Linked DNA regions of Mus musculus. The protein of the gene in region 2 purifies or fractionates together with the protein of the main gene of each other region. This does not show direct contact. Links are inferred from orthologs where the notes say so. Each region holds a gene or a part of one and is shown on either strand. Other genes may lie near its edges.

The links.
Region 1: the proteins of Ncbp3 (region 2) and Ddx39b purify together in Homo sapiens (co-immunoprecipitation; 4 studies listed by BioGRID and IntAct, with this or other methods). This does not show direct contact. The link is inferred for Mus musculus from reciprocal best matches to the Homo sapiens genes NCBP3 and DDX39B.

The regions. Positions count from the first base shown.
Region 1 is NC_000083.6:35,240,372-35,244,569, forward strand, and holds the start of Ddx39b (spliceosome RNA helicase Ddx39b), read left to right. Parts: upstream 1-1,374; 5' UTR 1,375-1,481; intron 1,482-2,306; exon of another isoform or gene 2,307-2,383; intron 2,384-2,445; exon of another isoform or gene 2,446-2,464; intron 2,465-2,741; 5' UTR 2,742-2,868; coding exon 2,869-3,079; intron 3,080-3,703; exon of another isoform or gene 3,704-3,764; coding exon 3,765-3,892; intron 3,893-4,084; coding exon 4,085-4,177; intron 4,178-4,198. UniProt on the Homo sapiens protein: Involved in nuclear export of spliced and unspliced mRNA. Component of the TREX complex which is thought to couple mRNA transcription, processing and nuclear export, and specifically associates with spliced mRNA and not with unspliced pre-mRNA.
Region 2 is NC_000077.6:73,064,753-73,068,397, forward strand, and holds part of Ncbp3 (nuclear cap-binding protein subunit 3), read left to right. Parts: intron 1-235; coding exon 236-361; intron 362-818; coding exon 819-947; intron 948-1,930; coding exon 1,931-2,007; intron 2,008-2,950; coding exon 2,951-3,059; intron 3,060-3,645. UniProt on the Homo sapiens protein: Associates with NCBP1/CBP80 to form an alternative cap-binding complex (CBC) which plays a key role in mRNA export. NCBP3 serves as adapter protein linking the capped RNAs (m7GpppG-capped RNA) to NCBP1/CBP80.

The DNA.
Region 1 (4,198 bases), on a different chromosome or scaffold from region 2:
AGGTTTTAAGCATTGTTAAAATCACAGCCAGCTGTTAAGACAATCCCTTCCTGCCCTGGCTACCTTAACGAGGACTGTCAGCATGGCCATTTTGAATCTTCTATAAAGTCTTTGAGGAAACCACACAGCTAATGGCTCAGCCAGGATTGTTTCTGTCCTCTCTCTCCTCCCCCAGTGGAGGGTGGAACTTCCCATAGTCCAGTAGCAGGAAGATGTGTTATCACTGATGCCAAAGGGACAATATTATGATTGGTGCAAACACAAGTCTTCATTTGCACGAGTTTGCTGTTTGCTGTGTTTGGTGCAAACACCCTTTGCTGGCTGTAAAGCAGAAAGTTTGGCTCACTTGGGTCAGCTGGGACAAACCTTACTATGCTACCCTCCACAATGTCACATTAGGTCCAGTAACAGGAAGACAGTGGCTAAGAGCCCGCCAACTAGGTCACTAGGAGAGTTCCTGGAAACGCTTCAAAGCTAAAGGCCCAGGTACCGCACTTTCTGGAGCTACAGTTCGTAATAAGTTACCAGGGCCGAGGAATTCCCACTCCTCTCTGATTTATACAAAACCCGCCGGCCTGCTGCTTAGGGCTGCCAAATGCGGAGGGATCAAAAGCTACCAAGCCCCAGCCCAGAGAGCTTATGCGTTGAGCAGGACACAGCCAGCTGGTTGGCAACACTGATACTTAGTGTTACTTTGTATTAATATTAAGTGTCCTTAATAGGGAAAGCCCGAGCTTGTGTTTATGTAGCAAGGCAACAGGACAACACTTCTGCTATATGTAACATCTCAAAGGGAATACCACATGGGGGGAGGGGGATGTCCAGGCTGAATAATGGAACTGAGATTATTCTGCTGCTCTAGTTAGCAAGAATTATGGAAAGGTGCATAACCTCAAACCCCACCATTTATTTAGCACCTAGACAGAATGTAAGCCTCCATCTTTCGATATAATTTTGGGTAAATCCTGCCTATTCTCTGCACGACTGTAATGGGCGTGGTCACGTGTCCCCCTCCCCTCCAGCAGAGGCCCGAGTTAGCCGCTCTCGGGTCACCTTGACTACGAGGCTAAGGACCCCGTGAGAAACGCTTCTCATTCGATCGCGGAGTCCTCCATGCCCACAGAGAGGTGCCCAGGGAGAAGCCTGGCGTGGCAAACAAAACTAAAGTAGAGCCGACCGTCGGAGGGTGTTGCATAAGCGTAGAAGAACAAAATGGAGAGCTCTGCGGGGGAAGACGTGAGTTTCCTGTCGCGCTCTTGCTACTGGCGACCGGAGGAGGCGTCGTCTGAAGCTTCATTTCAAGTGGGCGTTCTGCAAAGCCAGCCGCGGAGCGCGCGCGGCGAAAGCCTGCTTCCGGCTCCTTGCGCGTGCGCCCTGGCGGCCGGGAAGGCGGGAGGCCGGGGCGAGCCTGGAACCGGAAGTGAAGGCAGCTTCCCGCCTCCGTCCCCGTTGCTGCCGCCATACACGCTCGCAGTGCTTAGGTAAGCTTTGGCCCTGTGCACCATCCACCGCCATCTGCTTCTCCCGCGGCTCGCCCCGCCGCGCGGGTCCCTGATACCCGGTGCCGGGCCGGCGCCGTGGCCGCCGGCGCGCAGGCGGGCGTCCAGTTCTGTTGTCTTCACCCCTTTCTGAGAGCAGATCTTGGCGGGGAGCTGGGAGACAAGGGGGGAACGATCCAAAATGGTGGCCTCGGCCGCCATTGTGTCTCCGCGCTTCCTGGGTGTTCCAGTGGGTCCTCTGCCCACCCGGGGCCGCGGCGGCCGGAGGCGGCGCCAGGAGGAGGGCGGGGCCCCTCGCATCTCCCCTCCGGGCCTTTTCTTGCTCGCCCAGGGATGGGAAGATCTCGCTCCGGGGCCCGTCCAGCCCTTTGACCCCGCTTTCGCTGCCTTATTTGGAGCTCTCTGTGAATGGCTGCCTCTGTGCGTGGCCGATGGTGTCGCGCACTTCTGGGGAAGCTTTTCCGAGAGCACTGCAAGGCGTTCCTTTCTAAGGCCACCCGGCTCACACTCTTAATCCTGCATCGTTCTCAGCTGTGACCTTAATTCCTTAGTGCGACTTTTAAAATTAACTTTGGCAGCGCTGAGCCGAACCTTGCGGCCTCTCGCGTTACTAAGCAAGCACTGCCATTGAACTGCACACACCCATCTTTTTCAAAACAAAAAAATTTTTTTTTTCTTGAAATGGAGCCATTCATACACTTCCCACCCTCCGCCCCGCACCACCCTCCTTCCTGCTTCTGTTCCCCGGTCCAGGTGTGCGCCGCTGGGACGGCCACTCGGGGGTTTCTGAGCAAGAGAATAGCGGCAGCCACATGATGTTTGCATTTGGGAAGTGAGCGCTCTGCGCAGTGCTGACCCTTATCTATCACCCTTGACTGATGGCTGACGTTGGGGATCACCACCGTGAGGTGGCAGGAGAAAGCGCAGTCTCTGTCTTCCCTTGTCCTTTGTGTCTCAACCCTCGTGTGAGTCGTTAGTCACGCTCATTTTACTGCGGTCTCCCAGTTGGCTCCTGCCTGTCGAAGTGTGTGTTACAAAGTCTGGTTAGCGGTGGAGCCCACTCTGTCTCTCCCGTCTGGTGTTCCCGTTTCTTATGTCATGAGTCTCTTTGTTAACTCTTCTTTCGGGACAAAGGTTTCACAGTTTAGGGAAGAATAGGACGGGTGTAGGGATCGACGAGAAGTGACGAGTCCATTCGTGACTGATGAGTTTTTCCGGTTTTTTTGTTGTCCCCTCTCCCAGCTCTTCTGTCGGAAACTGGTGTCTTTCCCCTTGCTGTTCTTCAACCCCTCTCTTTGGCCCTTGCTTCCTCACCTGCTCTGGGACACCTAACTCAAGAGACCTCCCTTCTCCCCCTGCCGGCCCAATTATGGCAGAGAACGATGTGGACAATGAGCTCTTGGACTACGAAGACGACGAGGTGGAGACAGCCGCTGGGGCAGATGGGACCGAGGCTCCCGCCAAGAAAGACGTCAAGGGCTCCTACGTCTCCATCCACAGCTCCGGCTTCCGAGATTTTCTACTCAAGCCAGAGCTGCTCCGGGCCATCGTTGACTGTGGCTTTGAGCATCCATCAGAGGGTACATTTTATTGTTGGGTGTAGAGACCTTATTTAGCACCTCTGGTGCAAGAAAAGGGAGGTTCAAGTCTAGGGTCATAGGATTTGAATTTATTTGGGATAGGCCAAGCTCTGAGAATGTACCCAAGACGGCAGCTGTAGAAGAGGCTTTTGTTCTCCGTTAAACAGAGGGCTGCCATTTGTTCTGTGCCTGGCTTTTTTGCTTGGTTTTTGTCTTTCTGACTGTTCGGACTCCCAGAGAGGGCCTGGTTGGACCTTTAGTTCCCTTCTTTTGGGCCAGGCCAAGTGTCGTTTCCGGAAACCTTAACGATCAGGATGCTGGCTTCTGTGGCTTCTGGGTCAGGTACCAAGTCCTTCATTTTGTTCAAGGTTGCAGGGTTACATGACCCAAAAGCACAGCAACCTATGTAGGAGAAATGGCCTGTGGCAGTCGAATTCATAGATTGTTGCGGTGTAAGAAAAGTAAGTTTAGCCAGGAACGTGGAAGGTGAGCTGTTGGTAGCTTCACGAGGGTTCTTTCTTAGCGGAACTGGGGAGCTGGGGTAGGAGGGTTTGACTTGAGTGTAAGAGTGATGAGGGTCAGGGAAAGGATGGGGTCTGAAAGGTGACAAGGTGACATATGATGAGTCGGCTGGGGAGAAAGGGGTTTGGCACGGTGCAAAAATGTCTCTCCTTTCTCCTCCTAGTCCAGCATGAGTGCATCCCGCAGGCCATTCTGGGGATGGATGTCCTGTGCCAGGCCAAGTCAGGCATGGGAAAAACAGCAGTGTTTGTCCTGGCCACACTGCAGCAGCTGGAGCCCGTTACTGGGCAGGTATGTTGGGGGCAGTGCTGGAGAGGGTGTGGAGATTGAATCACCAGGAGGCCGTTTCTGGCTCCATGTGTTCTCAGCTGGTGTCCTCTGCAGTTCAAGGGGAATGTTCGCCAACATCACTGACAAGTTGCTGGATGCTCTTGTGACGAGGGGCTGACTTTACTGTGTCTGTCTCCATTTGCTCCCTCAAAGGTGTCTGTGCTGGTGATGTGTCACACTAGGGAGCTGGCTTTTCAGATCAGCAAGGAATATGAGCGCTTCTCTAAGTACATGCCGAATGTCAAGGTAAGGGGGGAAAGAAACCTG
Region 2 (3,645 bases):
GTGCTAACCCCTTCCTCTATCTGAGTCCTACCTGACTATTCTGCATCCCATCATTTGCTTATTGCAGGTCAATATAAACATTTAAGAAGTCGACCCTACCCTCTTGTTCTGTGTTCTTTTGAAATTATTACTGTTTCAGTTTCTTCCTCTTCTAGAATCATTATCTAAACCATGGTAAAAAATTCTTAGCAAGCTGTAAATAGCAGGTAGGAAAATTCTGTGTCTTGTTTTTTAGCAATTCCCAAGGTGAGACTGGAGACAATCTACATTTGTGGAGTGGATGAAATGAGCACCCAGGATATCTTCTCCTATTTTAAGGAATATCCTCCAGCTCACATTGAGTGGTTGGATGACACCTCCTGTAAGTATACCTACATTTTCGGTGTAGTATGCTTTCGTTTATGATTTTTAAGGAGTTCTTGCTATTTTGATAGTGAATAATTATTGCCCAAACTGCCTATGCTTAACTTTTGTCCTTAGCCTAGGAGAAAAAAGTTCACAAGTCTTAGTCTAGCCCCACCTGGCGTAGCACTGGGAATTCGCTAGCCTTTGCCTGCCACACGCTAGGATTGTAAGTGTGTGCTGCCACATTTGGCTTCAGGCAGTTCCTTGCTCAGAATAGTTATTGGTGGAATTGGGTTTGGGAATGTAGCTCTGGAGGACATTCATGAGACATTTGCCACCATTGTCTGCTTTTTTCATGAGCTGGTTTTGATATTGACCAACAGCCTTTGTAGCCAGTTAGGCTGTGGCAGTGAACCTGATGCCAAATCTGCTCTCAGGAAGTTACACTCGGGTGTGCTGATGCTCTATCGTAGGCAATGTGGTTTGGCTGGACGAGATGACGGCCACACGAGCTCTCATCAATATGAGTTCTCTGCCAGCCCAGGATAAGATGAGAAGCAGAGATGCCAGTGAAGACAAGTCGTCGGAGAAGAACAAGAAAGGTAACTGCGCACAAAGAGGGCCCTTGCCGCCCTGTGCACCGATCTGTTCAGGGCCTTGAGTAGATAGAGCATTGTGAATACTGCCTCACCAGATGCCGCCCTGTGCACCGATCTGTTCAGGGCCTTGAGTAGATAGAGCATTGTGAATACTGCCTCACCAGATGCCGCCCTGTGCACCGATCTGTTCAGGGCCTTGAGTAGATAGAGCATTGTGAATACTGCCTCACCAGATGTCGCCCTGTGCACCGATCTGTTCAGGGCCTTGAGTAGATAGAGCATTGTGAATACTGCCTCACCAGATGCCGCCCTGTGCACCGATCTGTTCAGGGCCTTGAGTAGATAGAGCATTGTGAATACTGCCTCACCAGATGCCGCCCTGTGCACCGATCTGTTCAGGGCCTTGAGTAGATAGAGCATTGTGAATACTGCCTCACCAGATGCCGCCCTGTGCACCGATCTGTTCAGGGCCTTGAGTAGATAGAGCATTGTGAATACTGCCTCACCAGATGCCGCCCTGTGCACCGATCTGTTCAGGGCCTTGAGTAGATAGAGCATTGTGAATACTGCCTCACCAGATGCCGCCCTGTGCACCGATCTGTTCAGGGCCTTGAGTAGATAGAGCATTGTGAATACTGCCTCACCAGATGTCGCCCTGTGCACCGATCTGTTCAGGGCCTTGAGTAGATAGAGCATTGTGAATACTGCCTCACCAGATGTCGCCCTGTGCACCGATCTGTTCAGGGCCTTGAGTAGATAGAGCATTGTGAATACTGCCTCACCAGATGTCGCCCTGTGCACCGATCTGTTCAGGGCCTTGAGTAGATAGAGCATTGTGAATACTGCCTCACCAGATGTTTCTGAGGTAAACTATGATACTTGGGTCTATCAGTTAATAGGAATAGGGAACACTGGGCTTTTTAAACTTTACGAGTTTATGATGGGGTTACATTAAGGTTCCTCTTGTCCCTCACACTCCATTTTAGACAAGCAGGAAGACAGTTCAGATGACGACGAGACTGAAGAAGGAGAAGTGGAAGATGAGAATTCAAGTGATGTAGAGGTTAGTAATAGGGCAAAGATATCTAAGGTTTTATTGGAAAAAAATAATGCTTACTGTCTTTTTAAATGTCAGATGTAAAGACTTAGTAAGCTATGTTCATGTAGCCTTTTAGTTTGTGTGGATGTAACAGTTCATTTTGGAGTCTTAGAATAGTGTTCATATTTGTGTAGAAGAGAAAATGGGTTTAATAAGAAACACTTTGAAGTGTTATCTAAAAAACAAGTAGTGTTTGTCAGAAATGTTGGAGAGTGTTCATTTGAAATATTTGGGTTAGAGGTGGGGGGCTTGCACATGTTAGGCAAGTGCTGTGCTTCTGATCTGTGCCCTCAGCTAAGTATATTCATTTCATGTTGAATTATTTAAATGGTAAGTGTTTACTATATACCAAATTCTGGGAACAAACTATCAGGGTTTTTTTTTTTTTTTAAAGGCCCTTGCCTCACTGGAGGCTGCATTTTAGAGGGGAGGACAGATACACAGTTGCTGCTAGGAGACACAGTGAGCACTCTGAAGACTGTAAAGGGTGAAGGGAGAGAGATTAAGGGCTGCAGGGATAGTACATGTTGTGCTTGCAGGGGACCTGAGTTACACTTCCAGCATCCATGTGGGATGGCTTACGACTGCTTGTCATACTCACTACAGGGTAGCCAACTTTGTTCTGTCCTCTGTAGACAGAACTCATGTGCACATAACTCCACACAGACACTTTCCTGTGCACATAATTTTTAAAAAGTGTTCATAATAAAGGAGATAGAAAATGATGGGGACTATTTTTTAGGCGAGTTAGTCAAGGAAACCCTGACTTCAGAGTCGCCGTAGGAATAGATGCTGTGACACTGATGGGCAGAAGGCTTCTTAATGGGAACTGCACAGAAAAAGTATGAAAAATGCTGGAGTTTTATGTTGAAAGTGTTCTCCTTTTTTTTTTTTTTTGTCTTTTAAGTTGGACACGTTGTCTCAGGTAGAAGAAGAGTCTCTGTTACGAAATGATCTTCGTCCAGCTAACAAACTTGCTAAAGGAAATAGACTATTCATGAGATTTGCTACAAAAGGTAAACTTGATCTTTGGTATTGATTTTTGGTCAGAATGATGAAATTACTGAGTAAAACTTAGCTGTTGACTAGAAGCGAGTTCAAATAATGCCAAAGCTCCTTTTAAACAAATAATTTATGAAAAAGCAGCTTACTGACTGAGGGGGAATTTCATTTACATTTGTGTTTGTTAGTGTGTCTTTATTTCACTGTTAGCCTGCATGCCTGTGATGCACTTGGGTCCCATTTAATCCTCCTCTTGTTCACACATCCCCTTCCTTCCCCTTTTGACCTCCCCTTTTACTTAACTCTGGAATTCCACATATAAAAACAAACAGGGTGCTTTGTTTTTGTTTTTCAAAGCAGGGTAGCCCTGCTCTGTGTATCCCTGGCTGTCCTGAAACTGGCTCTGTAAGCCAGGCTGGCCTGAAACTCAAGGATCTACCTGTCTCTGCCTCCCAAGTGCTGGGATTAAATGTGTGAGCCACCGTATCTGGCTTAACACTTTGTTTTTATGAAGTAAATTTTATTAAAGTAGGAGATTTGTTGGAGCCATAGGTGCTGGGCACTGGAACAAGGGCCATTGGCAGTGCTCAGGATGCCCTC